Linked DNA regions of Oryctolagus cuniculus. The protein of the gene in region 4 interacts with the protein of the main gene of each other region in a pairwise test. Links are inferred from orthologs where the notes say so. Each region holds a gene or a part of one and is shown on either strand. Other genes may lie near its edges. The genes, in order: PPL, ARNT, CEP76 and AKT1.

The links.
Region 1: the proteins of AKT1 (region 4) and PPL interact in a two-hybrid assay, tested with the Homo sapiens proteins (2 studies listed by BioGRID and IntAct). The link is inferred for Oryctolagus cuniculus from reciprocal best matches to the Homo sapiens genes AKT1 and PPL.
Region 2: the proteins of AKT1 (region 4) and ARNT interact in a protein complementation assay, tested with the Homo sapiens proteins (2 studies listed by BioGRID and IntAct, with this or other methods). The link is inferred for Oryctolagus cuniculus from reciprocal best matches to the Homo sapiens genes AKT1 and ARNT.
Region 3: the proteins of AKT1 (region 4) and CEP76 interact in binary tests that used the Homo sapiens proteins (3 or more experiments, as listed by UniProt). The link is inferred for Oryctolagus cuniculus from reciprocal best matches to the Homo sapiens genes AKT1 and CEP76.

The regions. Positions count from the first base shown.
Region 1 is NC_091450.1:30,734,556-30,740,471, forward strand, and holds the start of PPL (periplakin), read left to right. Parts: upstream 1-2,060; 5' UTR 2,061-2,075; coding exon 2,076-2,503; intron 2,504-5,916. UniProt on the Homo sapiens protein: Component of the cornified envelope of keratinocytes. May link the cornified envelope to desmosomes and intermediate filaments. May act as a localization signal in PKB/AKT-mediated signaling.
Region 2 is NC_091438.1:47,241,989-47,247,211, reverse strand, and holds part of ARNT (aryl hydrocarbon receptor nuclear translocator), read right to left. Parts: intron 3,883-5,223; coding exon 3,817-3,882; intron 3,406-3,816; coding exon 3,320-3,405; intron 702-3,319; coding exon 625-701; intron 1-624. UniProt on the Homo sapiens protein: Required for activity of the AHR. Upon ligand binding, AHR translocates into the nucleus, where it heterodimerizes with ARNT and induces transcription by binding to xenobiotic response elements (XRE).
Region 3 is NC_091441.1:69,557,525-69,563,363, forward strand, and holds the start of CEP76 (centrosomal protein of 76 kDa), read right to left. Parts: upstream 3,505-5,839; 5' UTR 3,417-3,504; coding exon 3,195-3,416; intron 2,915-3,194; coding exon 2,839-2,914; intron 2,263-2,838; coding exon 2,008-2,262; intron 1-2,007. Other genes in the region: PSMG2 (proteasome assembly chaperone 2), read left to right, coding at 5,557-5,613. UniProt on the Homo sapiens protein: Centrosomal protein involved in regulation of centriole duplication. Required to limit centriole duplication to once per cell cycle by preventing centriole reduplication.
Region 4 is NC_091451.1:46,982,543-46,988,227, reverse strand, and holds the start of AKT1 (RAC-alpha serine/threonine-protein kinase), read left to right. Parts: upstream 1-1,830; 5' UTR 1,831-1,970; intron 1,971-3,492; 5' UTR 3,493-3,565; coding exon 3,566-3,611; intron 3,612-5,685. UniProt on the Homo sapiens protein: AKT1 is one of 3 closely related serine/threonine-protein kinases (AKT1, AKT2 and AKT3) called the AKT kinase, and which regulate many processes including metabolism, proliferation, cell survival, growth and angiogenesis.

The DNA.
Region 1 (5,916 bases), on a different chromosome or scaffold from region 4:
AAGCGGGAGGACACAGCAGCCTCCTCCAGACGAGGCGGGAGTAGCTGGGGAGAATCAACCAGTGCAGACACAGAGACTGCCATGCTGCCCGGAACGAGCCCTTGGCACCCAGGGAGGGGCGCCCGTGACCAGCGCCCTGGCCGGCACCCAGCGGCTGAGTGCCAAGCCAGCTGAGCTGCCAGCCTGCGTTCCTTGGTCCAGTTCCCCTTCCAAAAAGCGGCCTTCACTTTCTAGGAGTTGTGAGGAGAGGGGACTTGGCAGTTCAGAGATGTCCAGAGTTTTGACTCCATCTGGAGGTCCTGTGATGGTTTGGAGACTCCTCCCCGTTGCCCCCACCCCAGTCCTACAAGCCGGTGGCCTGCAGCTGCACACGCCTCCCCCTCCCGTTCACAGAGGCCCTGCTAATGGCCAGGGGCCGGACTAAGGGACCAGCACACAGCGCCTCACCCTCGGACGTCGATGCTGTGTTTGTGCCCATTTCACAGAGGGAAACGGAGGCCGGGAGAGGCATGGTGGCTCACCTGTGTTCACACAGCTGAGAGGGTCTGAACAGGGATTCAAACTCAGGTCTGTCTACGCTGCCTGCTCTCCTTCCCCTGTGAAAATGCTGATCTTTCCCTGGCCTCTCCAGAGGGGACTCGAAGGTGACCGTGTCTCACGAATCCTTGCCCACGTCTGCCGCGCATTTACAAGCAAGTGGCATGCCCGCCTAGTTTCTCTCTCTCCCTCCCCCCAACACAGAGCGGGCATCGTAGACCCTCTCCTTTGCCCCTTGCTGTGGGCATCCACTCCACGTGTGGGTCTAGGCACACCGTCCGCACAGCTGTGGCTGCTTGTTTAACCTACCCCAGGGGTGAGCAGCTGGTTTCCAGAAAATCTACAAGGTTGCAGTGAACAGTCAAGGCAGACTTAGCACCCACACCAGTGCCCACCTGCCCAGAAAGGTGGGAGGGGGAAGAGTAAGGAAAGGGTCTCTGGGCACGGGCAGGGGAGGAGCAGAGCAGGAAACAAGCCCCCCGCTGTGGCCCATGGCCTGAGACTGAGCTGGGCTTTGGTTCTGGTAGCTGCAGGCCGCCTGTGTGCTGCAGCCCTGGCTCTTCTCTGACACCTGCCCCAGTGTCAGCTGGCTGGTGGGCGAGTCCCCAGGGTGCCCTCAGACCTAGGGAGGGGAGTCTCTTCAGAACGAGGGGTTGCTCAAGGCCTTACCTGCCCCACCTAGGGCAGCACCTGAGAGGGAGGCCAGGCAGGGCCGAGGTGGGGGGTTAGGTTTGGCGAGAGGTCTGTGCCTGGGCAGTAGCTGGCAGGGTCCCTCCCTCTTGGCTTTTCCCAGTGAGGTCCAGGACCGTGGGGGGATCTTGTCAAGTGATCAGACTCCTGAGCCCTTCTCCCAGGGTATGAAGGCCTGAAATCTGCATTTTACACACCCCCACACACCCCAGGCGCCGACGCACAGCAACTAGAGCCACTGTTCTCAGAGAGGTCCCCTGGCTGCACTCAGGGACGTTCCCAGACGTCTCGCATTGTCCTTGATCCTAACGAGGCCACCAGGCCCCTCAGCAAAGTCTCCAGTCTGAGTGTTCTGTTTTGCTTTTTTTTTTTTTAAGATTTATTTATTTATTTGAAAGTCAGAGTTACATAGAGAGAGAAGGAGAGAGAGAGAGAGAGAGAGAGAGAGAGAGGTGTCTTCATCCACTGGTTCACTCCCCAATTGGCCACAACAGCCAGAGCTGCGCCAATCCAAAGCCAGGAGCCAGGAGCTTCTTCCCGATCTCCCACACGGGTGCAGGGGCCCAAGCACTTGGACCATATTCCACTGCTTTCCCAGACCATAGCAGAGAGCTAGATCGGAAGTGGAGCAGTCAGGACTTGAACCGGCACCCATTTGGGTAACTGAGGCTAGGGGCGCTGGAACACGCACGTCGCCCAGGGGTCTCGGCCGACCCAGTGCGGAGGCAAGATCCGCACGTGGGCAGGGGCGTCCAGTGCCCCCTTTGCTGGGACCCACTGGCCATCCGGGTCGCACAGACACCGACAGCGGCCCTGTGAGGGGCGGAGCGGGGGACTGGGGACTCCAGATGCGGGTCGGCCGGAGCCGGAGCAGCGCCCGCGCCCAGAGCACTCAGGGCCCCCAGTCGGGGGGCGCGCAAGTCCCCGCGCGGAGGGCGGGGCCCCGCGCGTGCGGAGGCGGCCCGGGCGTCCCCGCCCCCGGCCCTGCGGGAGCCCCTCCCCGGAAAGGTGAAGCGCCACCTACCCGGGGAGCGGCCGCGGAGCGAGTGGCCGCCGGGCGCCCCGCCCCCGCGAGTAGTGCTGGGGTGCCGAGGGCGCGCAGCACTCGGGGCCGCCCGCCCGCCCGCGCCGCCGCCGCCGCCGCTCACCTGCACCCACAGCCCGCCCTCGGTGCGCGCCGGCCCGCCCGGCCCCCGCCGCTCCCCAGCGCCACCATGAACTCACTCTTCAGGAAGAGAAACAAAGGCAAATACAGCCCCAAGGTGCAGACCCGCAGGTGAGGAGGCGCCGCGGGGCGGGGGCCAGCGCCGGGTCCCCGAGGGGTCCCGGGGCTCACGGGTCTGGGAACCGAGCCAAGAGTGTGGGACGCGAGGGGTCGCTCGGCTGGGAAGAGGATGGGGTGGCATGGGCGAGCGCGTCCGAGGGGACACCGCTTGTGGCCCCCCGGGGTCCTCGGAGCGCAGGGGGCCTGGCTTTGAGGGCCTAGGGGGCGGGGAATTGAGACGGGGGTACCGGAAACCTGCGCCCCCCGGGCTGCTTTTGAGTCGGGCTGGAGACTGCGGCCGCAGGGGGCCCGAAGGCCGGGTCTAGAGGGGGTGTGCTGGGCCGGAGAGCGGAGCTGGGCTTGGAGGGCGCACACCTGCGGGTCTCGGAGCTCGCACAGGTGCTCCTGGCGTCGGGCAGGCTGCAGGTGGGGGTGGCGCGGGGGCGGGCCACCTGCTAGGCACTTCCCCGCACCTGCCAACCTGCGCTCGGGAGTCCCGCCCCGCCCCGAGGCCCTGGAGCGGAGGGCACAGGCCCGGCACCCTCTTGCTTGCCCGGGGAGCGCCAGGCAGGGCGCTGCGCGGTGGCTGGGTGGCGTCGGGCCGCCGCGGCCCTTCTTAGGGGTGTGGCTCCTTCCCCGCCCCCTCCCCCAGCCCCGAAACTGGCGGCGGCTCTGAGCGGCGGGTTCCCAGGGAGGCCTGGGAAAGGAATGACATGTCTCGATGTGTTTGTGCGCACAGGCAGCCCACGTCCGTTTTGATAAGCCGAATGCATTCGCTTAATAACCGGTTTGGGGAAGTCGGGGCAATTCTGAGATGAGGGAGGGGGAGGGAGTTGGCCCTGCCTTCTCCCCCTCGAGGGAAAACGGGGTAGGGGCGTTGGGTACAGAGATGGAGGCAGGCGGGGAGTAGGTGACCGGCACAGCCTCCTGGCTTGGGGTCCCCACTCCTCCTGCTGCCCTGTGGAGTCCCTGCAGTGCCGGGGGCGGCTCCTTATTCCCGGCAGGCCTCTGATGGCCCAGTGCAGGCGGGAACTCTGGGCTCGCGTCCCCCCCCCCCCCCCCCCCGCGCCGCCCCTGCCATCAGCCTAGGCTGACCTGTTTGGCAGGTGCAGGCAAGCCTGGCCCTCAGTTTCCTTCCGTTCCAGCATCCTCAGACACCCCAGGAGTCGGGATCCCACCCACCCATCCCATAGCTCCCATTCCAGATGTTTGAAGCTCAGAGGCATCCCCCCCCCCCCCGCCCCCGGTTCCCTCCTGTCTGTCACAGCCTCAGAGGCTGGGCAGGGCCCTGCGTGCTGTTCCTCCCTGGCCGTCCAGCTGGCTCTCATACCTCTCTGGGGGCCCAGCCAGTCGATGCGCTGTTCTCTCGGGCATTGCACAATCCTGTGCTCTGTGCCAGCCCCACACAACTGTTCTGTCCTCGCCACCACAAGACCTCCACACCTGCAGGCACCCCCACTCCAGGAGCTGGGCCAGGCTGCCCCTCATCCCCCGCAGCCCGCATCCCCAGAGGCCTGGGCTGGACCTCACACGGGTTAGCGTGAGTTGAGGCAAGTTGGGAGGGAGGCACCCCATCCCGCTGAGTGCGTGGGGCGAGCACTGACCGCTCCCTCCCTGCACTCCTGGCCAGAGGCAGCGCCCTCTGTCCTTGGCTTGCAGACCTCAGCTTGGGGGTGTCTGTGCAGGAAGCCTTCCTGGTTCTCTCCCAGGGTGGAGTGGAAGACCCTTGGTGGGGCTGCCGTGGCCTTGTGTTACCTGGCCCTGAGTGGGATGGCAGCCCTGTGTGCGGCCGGGTCTGCCACATCCTCTCCCAGCCCTGTGCATCCCTCTGCCAGGAGGTGGGGGCAGCCCTGCACCCCAGTCTCCCTCCCTTCAGCCTACTCCACGCTTCACCAGCCCTGTAACAAGCAGCCTGGGGCACCTGTGGCTCTAAGCTGTGTTCTTTCACCCTTAGTTTTCTGGGGCTCTCTGCCATTGAGATTCGGCTTGGCGGGGCGAGTGGGAGCTCGGGCCCAGGAAGCGGGACTCCCGGCTCCTCACCCTGGCTTTGCCACCTCCCCGGACCCTTCCCGAGCCTCAGTTTCCATTTCTGCAAAGCAGCGAAGAGGACAGTAAGAATCTGTCGCTTGGAGTCTCCGAGAGCAGCCTTGCCCTGGCACACAGGAAGTGCCCAGGTCAGGGTTGTCATCACATCCCAAGCCGGGGCACCTCCCGCCGTGAGCCCCAAGCCCCGTTAAGGAAGCCGCCCCTCCCTGCCAGCCGGGAGGGCCAGGACAGGGTGTGAACCCGTTGCTCCTGTCACCCTGGTTCCTAATGACAGGTGTGGGAGCAGGTGTTCACACCTGCGATAATGACAGGTCCCAGGGAAGCGTCCTGCAGGGAACCAGCTCCCACCCTCCCGGCTGTGTAACCTGGGACGGAGTTGGTCCTTCTGAGACTGTTCTCTCCCACCTGTAGCCTAGTGCCTGCCCGGAGTGCTGGCTGAGGGTTAAAGGAACGGGTGGAACGGGTTGAGGACAACAGGCAGCTGGGGTGATGGTAATTAGGGACTTGTGTGGATGTGTGCATGGGGCTGAGCTGGATGCATGGTGGGCAGGCTGAACGTGGAGGAGTCACTGACCGCTGCCTGCCTCTGAGTCGCTGGCGGGCACATCAGGGCGAAAGGCTAAGGTTAAGCTCACATGCACTGGTGGTTCCCTGACCCTGGAGACTCATGGGTGGGGCTGGGGACACACAGCAGGACAGGCTGGGTATCCAGGCCAGCTGTCCTTGTGCTCTGTGACCGGGCTGTGCTGTCAGGGTCAGCAGAGACCAAGGAGGCTGTCCCCAGCGCAGGGAGAGGTCTGACCCATCCTGGCCAAGGAGGGAGGGGCTGAGATGTGGCTCTGACGTCAGACTGCCCTATGTGTCTGTCTGACTCGGGCGGCACTTGGTCTCGCCACACCAGGTGAGCTTCCCCGTCAGCAAAATGGGACCCGTGGCGCCCCCATGTCCCCACGGGGGTCCTGGTGAACACCCAGCAGCCTGGCAGGTCTTGCAAGATAGTGCCGCCCTAGCGGGAGGAATCCTGCATGAGCAGCAGGGCCCCTGGCTTTGGGGTGCTGGCAGCCACCCCGGGTACCCTGGGCCTCTTGGTGGTTAGAGCGCAGGGTTTGGTGCTAGCAAAGTGTGAGTTCCAGCCCCAGCTGCGCCTCTGCTAGCTCTGTGACCTTGGGGAGGTCACTTCATGTCTCTGCCTCAATTTCTTCATCTGTGAGATGGGCATGAGAATAGCAACACCCCCCACCCCGAGCTGATGAGGCAGCAGGGTGGATCCGGAGCCATCCCATGACTGCTGTGGGTGCCCACGGCACTGAGCCCGGAGCTGGCTGGGCAGCAGACCCAGACAGACACAGGGACACACACGTGCCGAGGATCAGCGAGCG
Region 2 (5,223 bases), on a different chromosome or scaffold from region 4:
TGTTTGGGTTCCTACTACTCACATAGGAAATCCAGATGGAGTTCCAGGCTCCTTGGCTTTCACCTGGCTCAGCCTCAGCTGTTGTGGCCATTTGAGGAAAGAATCAGTGGATAAAGGACTTATCTCTCTGTTACTCCCTGACACTCCGTCTTTCAAAATAAATAATTTTTTTAAAAATCTGCTTTCACCTGCTTAGGCTGTGCTCACTACCCAGATCAAAAAATCATTAAGGTCCAACTAACCAAGAAACTTATCTATACTTGTGAGAAGAATCAAGCTAATTCCACCTCTCTATTGTCAGTCATGTAATGATATAATGAAAAGGATATTTCTTCTTTCGCATAGAGACAAAGGAAATTCATCAGAAATAGAAAATTCAATATTATAAAGCTAAACACAAGAAAGATAAGGGGAAAAGATCTCCCCCTCATCCCCCGCAATATTCCAACTTATGCTAAACTCAAGATTACCAACATTTACTATGAATGTCATATTCCTTCAAATTTTTGGAGTCTTACAGAATTCTTTACTTGTATTCAGAGAATGAAAGAAAATTAACCTGAACAAGTCCTGAAGATTTTTTCTAACTTAAAAGGGATGTAAATGTAGAAAATTCACACTTGCCTGCAATCTACCAATGGCCACTAGACAAAACTTGCTTCCCTGGCCAGCCTCTGGGTCATCATCCGGGAGGGAAACACCTTCAGGAAGGTGAGGTTAAAAAGTTTAATTGAACTCTCAGACTCAAATGTTTTGCATGAGAGAATGATAAATGAGAATGTTAAAAATAAAGGTACAATTACATAAAATTTACTATATGTGCTACTCATGATATAAAATATATACATAAATTCATATATTTCAGCCATATTAACTATAATAAATTAAAGACTATAAGGCTCACTCGAGGTATTCCAAACACTATGCTAGCTAAATCAAACACATGTGAAGCAGCCCCTCTGTGACCAGAGAACAGATGTCTTGCCCAACCTGTGATCTGAAGTAAGCAAACAACCAAAAATGAATTTATGCCAAACACTAAGAGTTACTTGTGTCCCTTGGAAAAGAGAAAAATAATATTTTACATGGGAAAGTGAAGAAGAATGTAATTCTTCCTTATTCTTTGCATAGCTATTTTATTTTTATTCACAAAAATAGTACTTCTGTTGATAGCTACACAAAAGAAGTAAAGATCTTATGTACCTTAAACTATGTTTTATGCAATACAAAGATCACAAAGTTCAGATGTCATTACCTCATTCCTTAAAATATTTTCCTTAATTATATTAACTTCCACTTATTGGTATTTTTTTGTATTAGTATTTATTGATGGCTACCATATATGAGGTACTGGGCTGGATGCTTTCCTTACACTAAATCTAATCCTCATAATAACCCTCTATGGAATGTATTCTCTCCAAAGTACAGATGAGAAGTTTATAAAAGTCAAGCAACTTATCCTAGGTTATATCACTAATAAATAGCAATAATAATAGCAATGCCAGGAATCAAACCCAGGTTTTTCCAAATCCAAAGTTGAATGTCTTTTCTAAACATAAAACCTTGCTGCCTGTTTTTTTTTTTTTTTCCTTAGTTTCTGTCTTACCCAAATCCTTAATTCACAGTGACACCCAACTAGCAGGGAAGTAAAAAGTTTCTAAGGCTTGCAAACTCTTAAAAGTCAATTAAGCCGGCGCCGCTGCTCACTAGGCTAATCCTCCGCCTTGCGGCACCAGCACACCGGGTTCTAGTCCCGGTCGGGGTGCCGGTTCTGTCCCGGTTGCCCCTCTTCCAGGCCAGCTCTCTGCTGTGGCCCGGGAAGGCAGTGGAGGATGGCCCAAGTGCTTGGGCCCTGCACCCCATGGGAGACCAGGGTAAGTACCTGGCTCCTGCCATCGGATCAGCGCGGTGAGCCGGCCACAGCGCGCCAGCCGTGGCGGCCATTGGAGGGTGAACCAACGGCAAAGGAAGACCTTTCTCTCTGTCTCTCTCTCTCACTGTCCACTCTGCTTGTCCAAAAAAAAAAAAAAAAAAAAAAAAAAGTCAATTAAAAAGCTGATTCCCCCACCAAGGCTGGCGCCATGGCATAGTGGGTAAAGCCGCCGACTGCAGTACCGGCATCCCACAAGGGCACCAGTTCGAGTTCCAGTTGCTCCACTTCCGATCTAGCTCTCTGCTATTGCCTGGGAAAGTAGTAGAAGATGGCCCAAGTCCTTGAGCCCCTGCACCTGTGTGGGAGACCTGGAAGAGGCTCCTGGCTCCTGCCTTCAGATCAGCACAGCTCCAGCTGATGCAGCCATCTGGGGAGTGAACCAGTGGATGGAAGACATCTCTCTCTCTCTCCCTTCCTCCCTCCCTCCCTCCCTCTCCCTCTCCCTGCCTCTGCCTCTCTGTAACTTTGCCTTTCAAATATATAAATAAATCTTTTTAAAAAAAAAACTGATCCCAGCCAGCACCGCGGCTCAATAGGCTAATCCTCTACCTAGCGGCGCCGGCACACTGGGTTCTAGTCCAGGTCGGGGCACCAGATTCTTTCCCGGTTGCCCCTCTTCCAGGCCAGCTCTCTGCTGTGGCCCGGGAAGGCAGTGGAGGATGGCCCAAGTGCTTGGGCCCTGCACCCCATGGGAGACCAGGAGAAGCACCTGGCTCCTGCCTTCAGATCAGCGCGGTGCGCCGGCCGCAGCGCGCCAGCTGTGGCGGCCATTGGAGGGTGAACCAACGGCAAAAGGAAGACCTTTCTCTCTGTCTCTCTCTCACTATCCACTCTGCCTGTCAAAAAAAAACAAAAAACAAAAAACAAAAACAAAAAACAAAAAAACAAACAAAAAAAAACAAACTGATCCCAGCAAAAAACACCTTTCTTATAATCTCTGTGACCTCAAGTTCTAATAAAGCTAATCAGCTTAAAACTTCATTTAAGGCCCTTGCAGAGAGCATCTCCTTCTAATTACTACAATCAAACCATTTTCACCATTTCCCTCAAAGTTTTGTAACTAATTTAGAAAGACTTCTCAAGTGAATAATCCCAATGATTTTTAGTAACCACTGCTTAAAAGCATAGGTATTCAGTATATATAATTATGATTTTGTACATTTAAAAACTATGCTGTGACACAGCCATTAGTGAGACATTTTCAAATCTGAGTATATCATCTCCCCAAGTGGAATACAAGCTCAATAGTGTATGTGAAGGGGTCTGCTGTTTCTTTCAGGTTCCATCCAAGTACATTTCATACACCAAACACATAATAAATATAACTTTCTTAGACTTGGCGAGGAACCAAACGCACCGAAAAGAATCACCATCCAACTTTCCTACCTGCTGGGGGCCAGGCCTTGATATAGCCTGTGCAGTGCACCACCACGAAGTGAGGTTCTCCATCTTTCACAGAGCCAAGTCCATTCCTAGAAGAGTGGTATCAGTCAGAAGAAAAATCATACCTAGAAATTTCTTAAAGGACAATGCTGGCTTGGGAACTTCAACTTCAGAGTCTTGGTTTTTGAAAGTAGGACAATCAGTGCTGGGACCTCTCCCACCCGAAAGTAACCACCATAATTTCAACCATTACCAAAGGAAAACAACTGAAAAGAACTACAGCACAAGGAAAAGCAGGCAAAACAGTAAGTAAACTTCCTTTAACAGGAAAACAAGAAAAACTTTAGAAGTTCAGAAAAATACTGCCAGAAAAAAGTACCTAGGAGGCGAGGGAAGAGGGTGAGGACTACGAAAGGAAGTATTACAGTAAGTCAGGTGAGAAAGTTATGCTCTGTTGGGTCTTTGGTTACCCCTTTGGTTTTCACTGCTTAGGACTTCACCTGCATCTGTTCCTCACAAAGCTCAGTCTATTCATGGAGACTGGGTCCACGGAGCTATTGCCACACCTGTTTCAATGAGCAGAGAGATGCAAAGCAGTCAGCTTGCACAATGAAAGAACCTTTTTTTTTTTTTTTTTTTTTTTTTTTTTTTTGACAGGCAGAGTTAGACAGTGAGAGAGAAGAGAGAAAGGTCTTCCTTCCGTTGGTTCACCCCAATGGCCGCTAAGGCTGGCACGCTGTGCCGATCCAAAGCCAGGAGCCAGGTGCTTCCTCCTGGTCTCCTGAAAGAACCTTCTTTAGTGAAGTACGGTAACAGGCTTTAAATGCATCTTGACACAGAAAATTGGTAACAATGCTCCTAACACCAAGGAGGGATAATGGAAGTCACATTTGGTACTTCAAAAATATAACTGTTCTAAAATTTGAAGTAAAAAATATTCTATATGCTCTCCAAATGCAAAGATTCTCTATATCAGGAGTTGGCAAACTTTGTAAAGGACTAGAGTGTAAATATTTTCAGCTTTGTAGATCATACAGTCTAGTCTATTGTAACTAGGCAATTCTGGCAGTATAGCATAAAATCAGCAAAGACAATATATAGGCAAATGGGCATGGCTAGTTCCAATAAAACTTTCTTACAAATGAAGGGCAGTGGCTTGTTAATTCAGGCTATTTATCTTCTCTTGCCTATGTCTTTGCATTGGCCATGGCCATATGTTGGAATGGTCCCTTCAACTCAACTTTCTCTCTTTCATTTCTTTTTTTTTTCTTTTAAAGTTTTATTTGTTTATTTGAAAGTCAGAACCACACAGAGAGAGAAAAAAAGGCAGAGAGGTCAGTCTTCCATCCACTGGTTCACTCCCCAACTGGCTGCAAAGGCTGGAGCTGCGCCTATCCGAAGCCAGGAGCCAGGAGCTTCTTCCAGGTCTCCCACATGGGTACAGGGCCCCACGGGCTTGGGCCATCTTCCAACCCTTTCCCAGGCCACAAGCAGGGAGCTGGTTTGGAAGTGGAGCAGCTGGGACTCAAACCAGCGCCCATATGGGATGCCAGGACTGCAGGCAGCGGCTTTACTTGCTACGCCACAGCACCCACCCCCTCTTTCATTTCTTTAAAATAACAACAGTAGATAAAACTTCTACTGTTTAATATATGCCATGCTCTGTTCTAAATATCTTCACATATATTAATTCATCTAATCCTCATAACTTTGTGAGTTTAGTATCAGTATTACTTCCAACATTAGATGATAAAATCAAAGCACAAAGTAGGCTTGTAATCTGACCAAGATTTCAGAAGATATATGAAGCTAAGAATTAAAAACCACAGAATACTATGGACTAAAACTAACTCCAGCAGACTGAGTCCAGAGGCTATTGCAAACCATTAAGCCTTGGGGTCGGTGCT
Region 3 (5,839 bases), on a different chromosome or scaffold from region 4:
GGTTACATCATATTACATATTGTTAGGCCAACATAAAACTACTTTTATTGAAAAATATACTAAATAATAAACATATATGAAACTAAATAGAATTAATTTGGTAATATCTCAGAAAGCATATCACAAGCCTGGGAATACAAGTACACTCCTAGTTCCATCACTAGCTTCTGAGAAAACTGGCGGAATTGTCAAGTAATCTAGTTACTTAAACCATATCAGTGCTTTTTGATAAATAGATTAATAAGCCCCAGGAACCCAACTTCTTGAGCCACTGTCTGCTTTCTCTCAGGGGGGTGTATTAGCAGGAAGCTAGGCTCGAGAGTGGAGCCAGGACACAAACCCAGGCATTCTGATATGGTATGTGGGCTTCCCAACTGGCATTTTAACTACCAGGCTAAATTCCTGCCCCTGAAAGTCGAAGTTTAGATGTGAATATGTAACTTACTTTTGTAATGTCAAAATTTATGAGGGGCGGGCATTATAGTACAGTGGTCAAGCTGCCTGCTGAGGCACCGGCAGCCTATATCAGAGTACCTGGATTTGAGTCCCTGCTCTGCTTCTAACCCTGCTTCCTGCTAATGTACACCGTGGGAGATAGCTGGTGATGGCTCAGATACATAGGTCCCTGCCACCCCTGTGGGAAACCTGATGGAGTTCTTATTACTTGGCTTCGTGGAATTCTGGGCTCCTGGCCTGGCCCAGCCCTGGCTATTGCAGGCATTTGGGGCAGGAAACCAGAGGATGGAAGATTCTCTCCCCCTCTCCCTTTCTTTCTCTTTCTCTCTCTCTGCCTTTCAAATAAAAAAGAATTATAATATATGATTCTTGTAATTGTTTTACACTGTGTTTCTAACAAGGTATTTTTTAAAAAAGGTAATTTATGGGGTGAATTGCTAAACTGTGAGCTTAAATCTTTCAGTTTTGTGTTGATAATACAGTGATAATTTCTAAAGATAAATGAATAAGGACAGTTTAAGAATTAATCTTAACATATTTGATGGCTTTTTTTTGTAGTAACATATATTTTAAATAAGTACTTTTAAAGAGAGAGAGAAAGAGAAAGAAAGGGAGAAGGGGAGAGAATCTTCCATCCTCTGGTTTCCTGCCCCAAATGCCTGCAATAGCCAGGGCTGGTCCAGGCCAAGCTGCAGTGCCAGCGTCCCCTAAGGGCACCAGTTTGAGTCCCGGCTGCTCCACTTCCGATCCAGCTCTCTGCTATGGCCTGGGAAAGCAGTAGAAGATGGCCCAAGTCTTTGGGCCCCTGTGCCCGCGTGGGAGACCTGGAGGAAGCTCCTGGCTCCTGGCTTCAGATTGGAACAACTCCAGCCTTTGTGGCCAACTGGGCAGTGAACCAGCAAATGGAAGACCTCTCTCTCTCTCTTTCTCTCTCTGCCTCTCCTCTCTCTGTGTAACTCTGACTTTCAAGTAAATAAATAAATTTAAAAAAAGAAAGAAAGGAAAAGTTGGGTTCCTGCCACTCATGTTAGATGGGTTCCCAGCTCTTGGCTGTAGCCACATCAACGCCCCCGCTCCATTTCAGGTATTTGGGAAGTAAACCCGCTAGCAGATGGGAGCTCTTTACTATTATGGCTTTCTTTCTAACTCTCCAGTAAAATTTAAAACAAAATAAAACAAACAAAAACCTTTGAAATATAACAACATCACAAATCTAGTCATCCTTCATATACAAGAAGGATCATGTCTCATTCTCTCATGTCCTCAGCACCTGCTAGCATAGTACCATGCACATGACAGGCATCTCACAGGATTATTAGTAAAGAACCAAAATTAAGAGTAAAGTAATAATCGTTTAGGGATAATTAATTAGCAAACACAGAATAAAGCAGAAGGTGCACAGAAGTCGTTAAAATAAGAGTGGCGGAAAAATAAAAAGACTAGGCCAAATGACTCAATCTGTAAATCTCCCAACAGCAGAAGTTGTTACAGCAACTCTGCAACAAAACCTAATAAAAGCTCACTCCATTAAGTGACTATTACGTTCCTTACCTAAGTTTTCTCTGTGTACTTCAAGTAAAAAGCCATCATGAAAATCAGGTTCACAGGCACATGGAACAGGTTTAGAACGAAAACGTTGGTTTCGATAATGTAAGCATAAAGTAAAAGTTGAACAAACTTGTCCTGGTAAAGGCTCAGGTTCTTGAAGATGTTCCAAGAAAGCTTTTCCACCCAAAACCTGAAGGTAAAGATACCTCCGTGTTGGATCAATATTAGCTGTAAAGTGTAGCAATATACATGAGGAAACTGCCAAATAATTTAAGGAATGTGATCAAGACATTAGGATACAACAACTTGAAAGAAATAACATCAAAGACTAAAAAAAGAAGAAAAAGAGTAACAAATTTACTATATACCAGAATCATTTGCACCCTGGGGAGAAAAGATACATAATCTGACATTCTTTTCGGAGTTTACATTCTGTCCACTTTCTCCCAGCTAGAGTGGCCCAAAGTCTACTATAGTTTGCTTTTTATTAGCTGCTTATTAAATCTCCCTTCACCTCCATAAACCAGCTCAGGCAACTACAAATTAAGCAAATGTATTTGTAAGGTAATTATCATTAAAATAACAAGGCTGTACAATCTTAAATAAAGTATATTATTAAAATATGAGAAACCAGTGTGCTGGCTTTTGCTTCTACTATACTGCACATTAAATTTTCTGATATACTTCATGTGAAACAAAATTAAGTTTTAGGCCAACCACAAAAATTTAAATATTTGGGGAAAAAACCAGAAATGTTTTCTATCAAATACCAAACACTACAGCACATCAATATTCATTATACAACAGAATTATTATTAAAAAACAGATACATACTTTTTTTTAATGTTGACTGTCTATCAAAACTAACAGGTTGTTTTGGAGAGGAAGGGAGTTCTTGATCAACATTGTCCTGGAAAGGCCAAAAAAAAAAATTGAAAAAAAAAAAATTAAGAAAATGCCAATCATGACACTAAACAGCAAACAGAAAGGTGACAGGATAAGGGCCCTCTTCCCACCCCCCAAAAAAGCCCTTTTCATAGTGTAATCAAAATACTGAAAATGAAAGATAATGCAACTGGTCACTATTCATGTCTAATACTAAGGTGTAAAAATTATCTTCAAGGAATGCCATCCACAGAATGTAAAAAGCAATTCTGAAAACCTTAAACAAGCTTGAACTTTCCCTATACCTGATGTAACACTTGGCTTACAATTCCAACAGTTACTGATTTTAATAAAGAAGTGACATTCACACAGCAAAAGCTGTTATTAGGCCAATTTTTATAACAAATGGGTTCATAAACCTCAAAAACCAAAAAAGGATGCTGTATTAAAATACTTATTCCCTGATGTATTATGAAGTCTGTCCAATTTTCACATATTATCCAGGTATTGAGGTCACAGTTTTTCATTATTGCCTCATTTTCAAAAGAGGGCCTACTTCCTAATGGTGCCTTGAGAGGCCAGCATCTCACTACTGACCTATTTGTAGGTAAAGACTGGAGAGTCTTTGTGCAGTCAATTATTTTCTTGAGGACATTTATAATTTGTTCATCGGAGTCCCAAAGAGTGTTTATTTTAAAAATAAGCTTAACCTAAAGCAACTGTAGGGCAATCTTAGTGAAAAAAGAACAGTTTTATGGTGAACTAATGTGACTGAAATATGTATATTCATAATTAAAAGACCTAGAGAATTACAAGAGAGAATCCTTGTCACTGCAGAGTGAGGAAGACAGTCTACATAACCCAAATCTCGCTGACTCACACTATTTGTGTGCTACCCAAGGGTAGAGCTAACTTACAAGGCAAATAAGGACACTGGTAGACAGGAGGGCCTTCCAGTGGTTTCGCTCAAAGGAGAAACTCCCACCAAGGACCCTGTCAACAGTGTAACTACGCCCAGGCATGTTCTTTACAGACCCCAGAGTACTCACCGTAACAAAATTCAGTTCTTTCATCACATCATCAATGATTCCTCGCCGTCGAAGGGCTTTGATCAAATCTTCCGTTGATAACTGTTGCTGGTCGGGCGCTAACTCCTCGCGTATGGTCTCGGCGAGGATTTCCCGTATCCTGCCGTGGACATCCATCTGCGCACAAAACCCGCACGACAACGCCATTACTCCTCGAGTCAGGGCTCTAGAGCTAGCCGCGAACGGGCCATCATTACCACAGCTGAGTGAGAATCACCGCCAGCTTCCACGAGATGCAACTCTGGGAGACAAAGGCTAGAAATGACGTCTACCGCCTGCCCACTTTTGTGACCGCTTCCCCCCCCCGGAATCCCGCTCAAACCAAATCAGTCTTTCCATAGGGAATGCTGGATGGAATCGCAGGAACAGGCGGATCGCAGCAGCTGTGCAGGTCGGAGCTAACGTCTTCAGGCGCTGGGGTCCTCCGTCCTCCCGGACAAGACCCCGGACGCCCTGACCGGCGGCCAGTGCGGCGCGCACGCACCGCGACTTCTGTTACTTCACGCGTCGCCCTCGGCGAGGGCCGCAAAAGCCCCGGCCTGAGGCGACTGCGCCCCTACCAAGTCCTTCCGCCACGTCCCCTCCGTTACTGGGCTGTGCTGGCTGGAGCTGCTGGCTCTCGGATCGAGGAAGCCCACGTCTCGCCCTAAAGCCACCTCGGCTCTGAAAGTACATCCGACGTGACTTTGGAAGACCGCTCGGCTGCCCCCTACCACCCAAACGGTCCCATCGCCTCCCAGTCTCATGAGCACTCCCTCTCGCCTTCTTCCCTTTCACCGCCGCTACCAGGCTGCTCTGGCTTCAAACCCGAAGCTTTAGCTGCCCCGCGCTCCGCGCTGGCGCCCGGGATGGCCCAAGCCAGAGCCCGCCGGGCGGGGGACGCCTCAAGACAAGCGAAGAGAGCCCAGCTCGGCCCGCGCCGCCCTCACCTTGCTCAGTTGCTGGTGGATGAGCTGCTTCAGCTCCGAGGCTTTCTCCGGAGGCAGCGACATGCTGGCGGCCAGCGCCTCCACCGCTGTTCCCCGCCGGACGCCCTAGCTGTGTGGCGCACCCCGGCCCGGCCAGGGAGCGTTAGTCGCAGCGGGAGCACAAAAGCCGCACCGACGGCCGCTCGCTTCGCGCAGCTCCCCGGGGGGGGGGCGCGACGCCGCGTCAGGGCCGAAGCTGGGCGGGAACCCAGGCGCTGGCGGCGCCAACTGCTTTCAAATAATGACGGACCAACAGGCTTCGGGGCTGTCCCCCGCGATGCCTGATGCCCTCCGCCTGCCGCGCCACCTTCTCGCAGGCCCGCACCCCGCAACCTCTGCTCGCCCCGTCGCCGGGACTGGCCAGGGTCTCCCAACAGAGCTCCCCGTTTCCCTTCCCAGTCCTCGCGGCGGCCTCGTTCCTCCCTCCGGCCCGGCAGGGAACTGGACGGACCCTCAGGACCCCGCGCCGAGGGACTCCAAGGTCCCGCCTGCGTCTGTGGGTTCTAGGGACTGGGCCACCGGGTACGGCGCCCTGCTCCGGCTTCCGCCGACCCGCGGCCGCTGTGTTTCCAGGCCTGCGCTCGACCCCGTGCTCCGGCCGTGCAGGGACCATGTTCATTCCCTGCGGGGAGACGTTCCCCGACCTGTCGGGCTTCACGCTCCTGATGGTGAGTCTCCGCCTGCGCCGGGGGCTGCGGGCCTCTGGGGGGCGCCGCGGTGTCGCCGCCTCGACCGGGCCTGGGGAGAGGAGGGCGCTTGTTTTTATTTTAGGTGTTCGGCCTTAGAAATAGTAGGGAAGTTGTCCCTAAAAGCTGCGGTCCAAGCACAACGTATCCTAGTGCACACGTCGCAGTCTTTGTTGCCTGTGAAACATAATACGTTCGCGTATTCCAG
Region 4 (5,685 bases):
GGAGCGGGGGGGGGGCTGAAGACACCTACTGAGGAGCGGGGGGGGGCCTGGAGATACCTGCTGAGGAGCCGGGGGGGGGCTGGAGACACCTACTGAGGAGCGGGGGGGGGGCTGAAGACACCTGCTGAGGAGCCGGGGGGGGGCTGAAGACACCTACTGAGGAGCCGGGGGGGGGCTGGAGACACCTGCTGAGGAGCCGGGGGGGGGGGGCTGAAGACACCTGCTGAGGAGCCGGGGGGGGGGGCCTGGAGACACCTGCTGAGGAGTCGGGGGGGGGTGGAGACACCTGCTGAGGAGCCGGGGGGGGGCTGGAGACACCTACTGAGGAGCCGGGGGGGGGGGCTGGAGACACCTACTGAGGAGCCGGGGGGGGGCCTGGAGACACCTGCTGAGGAGCCGGGGGGGGGGGCTGAAGACACCTGCAGAGGAGCTGGGGGGGGGCCTGGAGACACCTGCTGAGGAGTCGGGGGGGGGCCTGGAGACACCTGCTGAGGAGTCGGGGGGGGGCCTGGAGACACCTGCTGAGGAGTCGGGGGGGGTGGCCTGGAGACACCTGCTGAGGAGCCGGGGGGGGGGTGGAGACACCTGCTGAGGAGCCGGGGGGGCCTGGAGACACCTGCTGAGGAGCCGGGGGGGGGGGCTGAAGACACCTGCAGAGGAGCTGGGGGGGGGCCTGGAGACACCTGCTGAGGAGTCGGGGGGGGGCCTGGAGACACCTGCTGAGGAGTCGGGGGGGGGCCTGGAGACACCTGCTGAGGAGTCGGGGGGGGGGTGGCCTGGAGACACCTGCTGAGGAGTCGGGGGGGGGTGGAGACACCTACTGAGGAGCCGGGGGGGGGCCTGGAGACACCTGCAGAGGAGCTGGGGGGGGGCCTGGAGGCACCTGCTGAGGAGCCAGCGGCCCCAGAGGCCGTGCTGGGCCCGCCAGCCCTGCAGCTCTTCCTGGCTGCACCTGCCTCGGTGCACACCTCCCAGCCCAGAGCCGACCTCTGACCCTGAATGAAAAACAAAAAATGACACCCCCCCCCAACTCACCAATCAGCTCTGGGCCTCTGGGGAGGGGCGGGGCGGTGGAGAGAGGCAGGGCTGGGAGTCTGCCGGGGTAGGGGCTGGCTCTGCCCGCGCGCAGGGCTCCGGGAGGCCTCTGGCTCAGTGACCGTGGCCTGCGCCCCCGCAATGCAGCCCCGTGGGGAGGCCCGCTCGGGCGCCGCCAGCACAGCCTTCCCCTCGGTGTCCCCTGGGTGTCCGCGGCCGGCTCAGGGCCGGTCAGCCCCGCGCCCCCTTCCTTTCCCTTCCACACTGCCCGCACCGCCCCCAGCGGCCACGAGTGGGGCCTTTAGGACTGTCGGGGCTGCGCCCTCCTCCCCTGGCCCCCACCAGCGGACGCAGGTGTCCCCGAGACCCGCATCGGTCCTGGGCCTGTTCCAGTGGAGTCCGCCAGAGCGCGGCCGGGAAGCGCCCGGTGCCTTTACAAAGAGGGAAACTGAGGCCGGAGGATGCGGCCCCCGGCCCGGCTGCCGAGCGGAGGCTCCGTTAGCGGGCCCGGCCCTGCCCCAGGCCGCCCCGGCCCGCCGCGCTCCTGGCGCCCCGCCCTCGCCGTCGGCCGCGCGGCGGGGGCGCCCGGGGCGGCGGAGGCGGATGTGGGCGGGCGGCGCGGGCGCGGGGCGGGCGCGGGGCGGGGAGAGGGCGGGCCGGCGGCGGCGGGACCGAGCGCGGCGGGCGGCCGGCCCAGCGCAGCCAGCGCGGCCCGAGCGCGGGAGCAGGCGCCGAGCACCGAGCGCCGCGGGCACCGAGTGCGCAGCGGGCACGGGCACCGGACCGGCACCAGGCGGCGGCGCGAGTCCGGCCCGAGCAGCGCCCGCCGCGGCCTCCCGCCGGCCCCGCCCAGCGCCGGCCCGCGGGGATGCAGAGCGGCGGGCGCCGGAGGCCGCGGCCCGGCTAGGCCCCGCTCGCGCGGACGAGGCGGCCCGGTGAGTCCCGCCGCCGCCGGCCGCGCCCCCGCGGCCGAGCGCTTTGTTCCCGGCGGGCCGGCGCGGGCCGCGGCCTCCGGCGTGGAGGGCGGGGGCAGGAAGTGGCCGAGCGAGGCCTGGGCGTGGAGGGCGCGGAGCGGGCGGTCGCGCGGGAGGCGCCCCAGCCGGCGCCCGGGTGCGGGCCGGCGGCCCCGGCCTCCTCGTGACCTTGGGGAGGCCTGGGCCCGGAGGAGGGGCGCCGCAGGGCCCGGGGCCGTGGGCAGTCGGCCAGCGAGGCAGCGGGCCGAGGCTGTGCTCCGAGGGGAGGGAGAGGGTCGCGGACCACCGGCCTTCAAGTTCTTAAGGGGTGGGGTCGGGAGGCCTGGGACAGAAAGCTGTGGGCGGCGGCTCCGTGCCCAGGCTGCCCCATCAGGGGCCTGCGTGCCTCGCGGCCGGGCTGCTTCCTGTTTGGAGTGGGCTGTGGAGGTGCTGCCAGCGTCCAGAGGCCGGGCCCGGGTGTGGCCAGGGCGCCCGGTCAGCTGGGGGTCCTGGGACAGCTGGCGAGCTTGTCCCCGGCTGGCCTGGCCCCAGACAGCTGCTCTTGCCTGCGCTGAGCCCCCCACCCAAGTGCAGGGCCTGGTGCCCCCTCCCGGGAGAACACCGCAGGGCCGAGGGGCTCGGTCTGCAGCGGCTGGGACTTGAGGAGCCATGGCGGCCTCAGTGGCGCGTGCCGCGGGAAGTGGGGTCCCCGTGCCGGCTTCTGTGTGGGCTACGCCACGCTGCGTGCTCTCGGTGATGGCCAGCAGCAGGCCTTGGGCGGAGGCTGGGGGGCTGTCCAGAGGTCTTTGCGTCCAGCCCTCTGCCTCGGCCACGCCCACGAGGTCCCAGCGCCCTGGCCTCGAGGTGTCTTCCCCCAGGCACGCTCACTTCCCTGCGGCCCTGGGCCTCTTCCTGGTGTGGCCTGGACACGGGCTGTGGGGCCTCGGCACAGCACAGCGTGGCCCTGGAGGGCCAGAGAGGTGGCCTGGCCGGAGAGCCCCCAGTGGGCCGCATCCCCGGCCGTCCTGGGGGGCGGTTCTGCCTGGCCTGAGGCCCCCAGGGCTGCGCTCCCGGCAGGCCTGTGCCAGATGCTTGTGCCTGGGGTGCCCAGAGCCCGGGAGCTGGGCATGGAGGGTTGCGGCGTCACGGCAGCCACCTTGTGAGCGTGGGGACTGTGGCTCTGTAACTGCCTTATGCCGGGTGCTGCTCCCCAGCAGGTGTGAGCCGTTCTGTGTGCCCAGCGCCCGGTGTGCGGCCTGGCACAGCCGAGATGCCTGGTACATGGGCCGGAGAATGCCGTGGAGCCGGGGGGGGGCTCTTCCTGGGGAGGTTTCCCTGTCGCCCGAGCTGCACTGCTGGGGAGGGGCCAGAGCGCTGAGTGAGACCCCCCACCCCGGGGATGGGAGGGCCAGCTTTGTACACGGGCTGGGGCCCAGGGCACGCGGAGGGGACCCGTGGGCCGGGGCCTGGGGGCTCACACCTCACACTCGCTTGCTTCTTCCAGAGCCTCGGGCCGGGCCAGCTGGGGCCAGGAGAGCCGTCTGCGCTGACGGCGCGTGCGGCCGGAGCCGGGCACCATGAACGCCGTGAGCATCGTGAAGGAGGGCTGGCTGCACAAGCGAGGTCCGTGTGCGAGCTCCGCGGGGCGGGGCGGGGCGGGGTGCGGGCGGCCGGCCGGGCAGCACCGGCCCAGCTCCCCCACAGCTGCCAGCCCTCCCGGCTTTCCTGGAAGGCGAGGGCGGTGCAGGGCCCCACACGCTGCCTGCCCGGGGCAGTGCCCAGGGGCTCCTTGGCCTGCTGGGAGGGGGGCTGGGCGCTCAGAGCCCTCCCGCGGGGGAACTCTCCCGCAGGGGAGCCCCAGACCCAGAGAGGGCACCGAGGGCCCACGAGGCGGACGGCAGTCCCCACAGAGCAGGCCCAGGCCCAGGCCCCGGGGGGCAAGGAAAGAACCCAGACGAGAGGCCAGGGCCGAGGCTGCGCCCCGCTGTTTGCGGGGGAGTGGGCGCCGGGCAGCAGGGGTGGGCTGCAGGCCCACCGGAACCCCTTGCCCGTCTTCCTGCCAAGGCCCCCACCCCGCAGTGCCACCCCGGGCGTCCCACCTCCCCAGCCAGCCGCTCTCCAAGCCTGGGCTGCCGTCTGGTCCCTGGGACTTGGGTGTCAGTCCTCGGCCCCGGGGTGGCACTGGCCAGCTGGGCTCGGCCGCAGTGGCCTCCATGGTGTGCCTCTGCCAGGGGCTGGGTGGGGACGGCCCGCGGGGCAGCCAAGAGAGGGCTTGGACCTCACCCTGTCCATCAGTCAACTGCCTGGGCCTCCGTTTCCCTGTTTCCAGGGGTCAGGGTGGGGCTGGTGGAGAGGAGAGAGTGGCTCGTGGGGTCCAGCCAGCCGGCACCCTCCCGGCCCTGCTCGCAGCCTCCTCCTGCTTCCACAGGTGGACATCGCGCCCTGGCCTGCCCTCAGAGGCGCCCCCGCCCCGGCCCCTTGGGGCCCGTCGTGGCACTCGGCACCGGCAGCACTGTCTTGGCTCCAGCCCTTTTGCCTTGCCTGGGCTGAGGCCAGCGGGGCCGTGTTGGGCTGACCCTCCCAGTCTGTACGTGCTTGGGCCTAGCTGGGGGCGGGGAGGGGGTGCCCCAGTGACTCCCCACCCCTCTGTGTGGCCCGGGGGTGGCATGGGCCTGGCCCTCTGCCCAGTGTCTACCCTTCCGCACCCTGGGTCCTGCCCAGGGCCTGGAGCTCCTTGCTTGTTGGCTGAGCCCAAGGCAACCGTCCCACCATGGCTGCCGTGGCCTCTGGGGGCTGGGGTGGGTGCAGGAGGGGCACGGGTCCTAGGTGTGCTTTGGGCTGAGGCGCTGGGGCCCGCTTGGCCCTGCGTGGACCCAGCGTGGCTTCCCGTCTGGGACTGAGTCCCAGAGACACGGGGGCTCCCTGGTTTTGAAGGTTGGCTGCTGCTGTTTTGTTTTATTGCTTTATTTTATTTTAGAAAAAACATTTATTTATTTATTTGAAAGGCAGAGTTAGAAAGAGAGAGAGAGCTTCTATCCGCTGGTTCACTCCTCAAATGGCTGCAACAGCTGGCGCTGTGTGGATCTGAAGCCAGGAGCCAGGTGCTTCTCCTGGTCTCCCATGGGGTGCAGGGCCCAAGCACTTGGGCCATCCTCCACTGCACTCCCTGGCCACAGCAGAGAGTTGGATCGGAAGTGGAGCAGCCGGGACTAGAACTGGTGCTCCTATGGGATGCCGGCACTGCAGGCAGCAGCTTTTCCCGCCACACCACAGCGCCAGCCCTGGTTATTTTAAAACACTTGTTAGGAAGAGGAGGACAGGGCTCGCTCCCCCAGTGCCCATGGTGGTGGACTGGGGTTTCAGTCCAGGACTCCCGCGTGAGTGCGGGGACCCGGTCCCCTGAGCCGCCACTGCTGCCTTCCTGGGGTCGAAGTCAGGGCTCCCGTGTGGGATGTGAGCGTCTTAACCACGAGGCCAACTCGCCCTAGGTCGACAGTTTCTAAATAACCAGCGCTGGGCCGGGCCGTGGGTCTGGCTGGACGTGGCCCGAGCCTGGGTTTCGGACGCCACAGGCTTCTGTGCGGCTGTCTGGGGCTGGGGTCCTCCCCCAGAGCCTGGCCCACCCCTGCCCGCGTGCTCTGGTGCTGCTGGGCCCCAGCCATGCTTACGGCTGTCCCCAGTGTCCCCTGATGCAGGA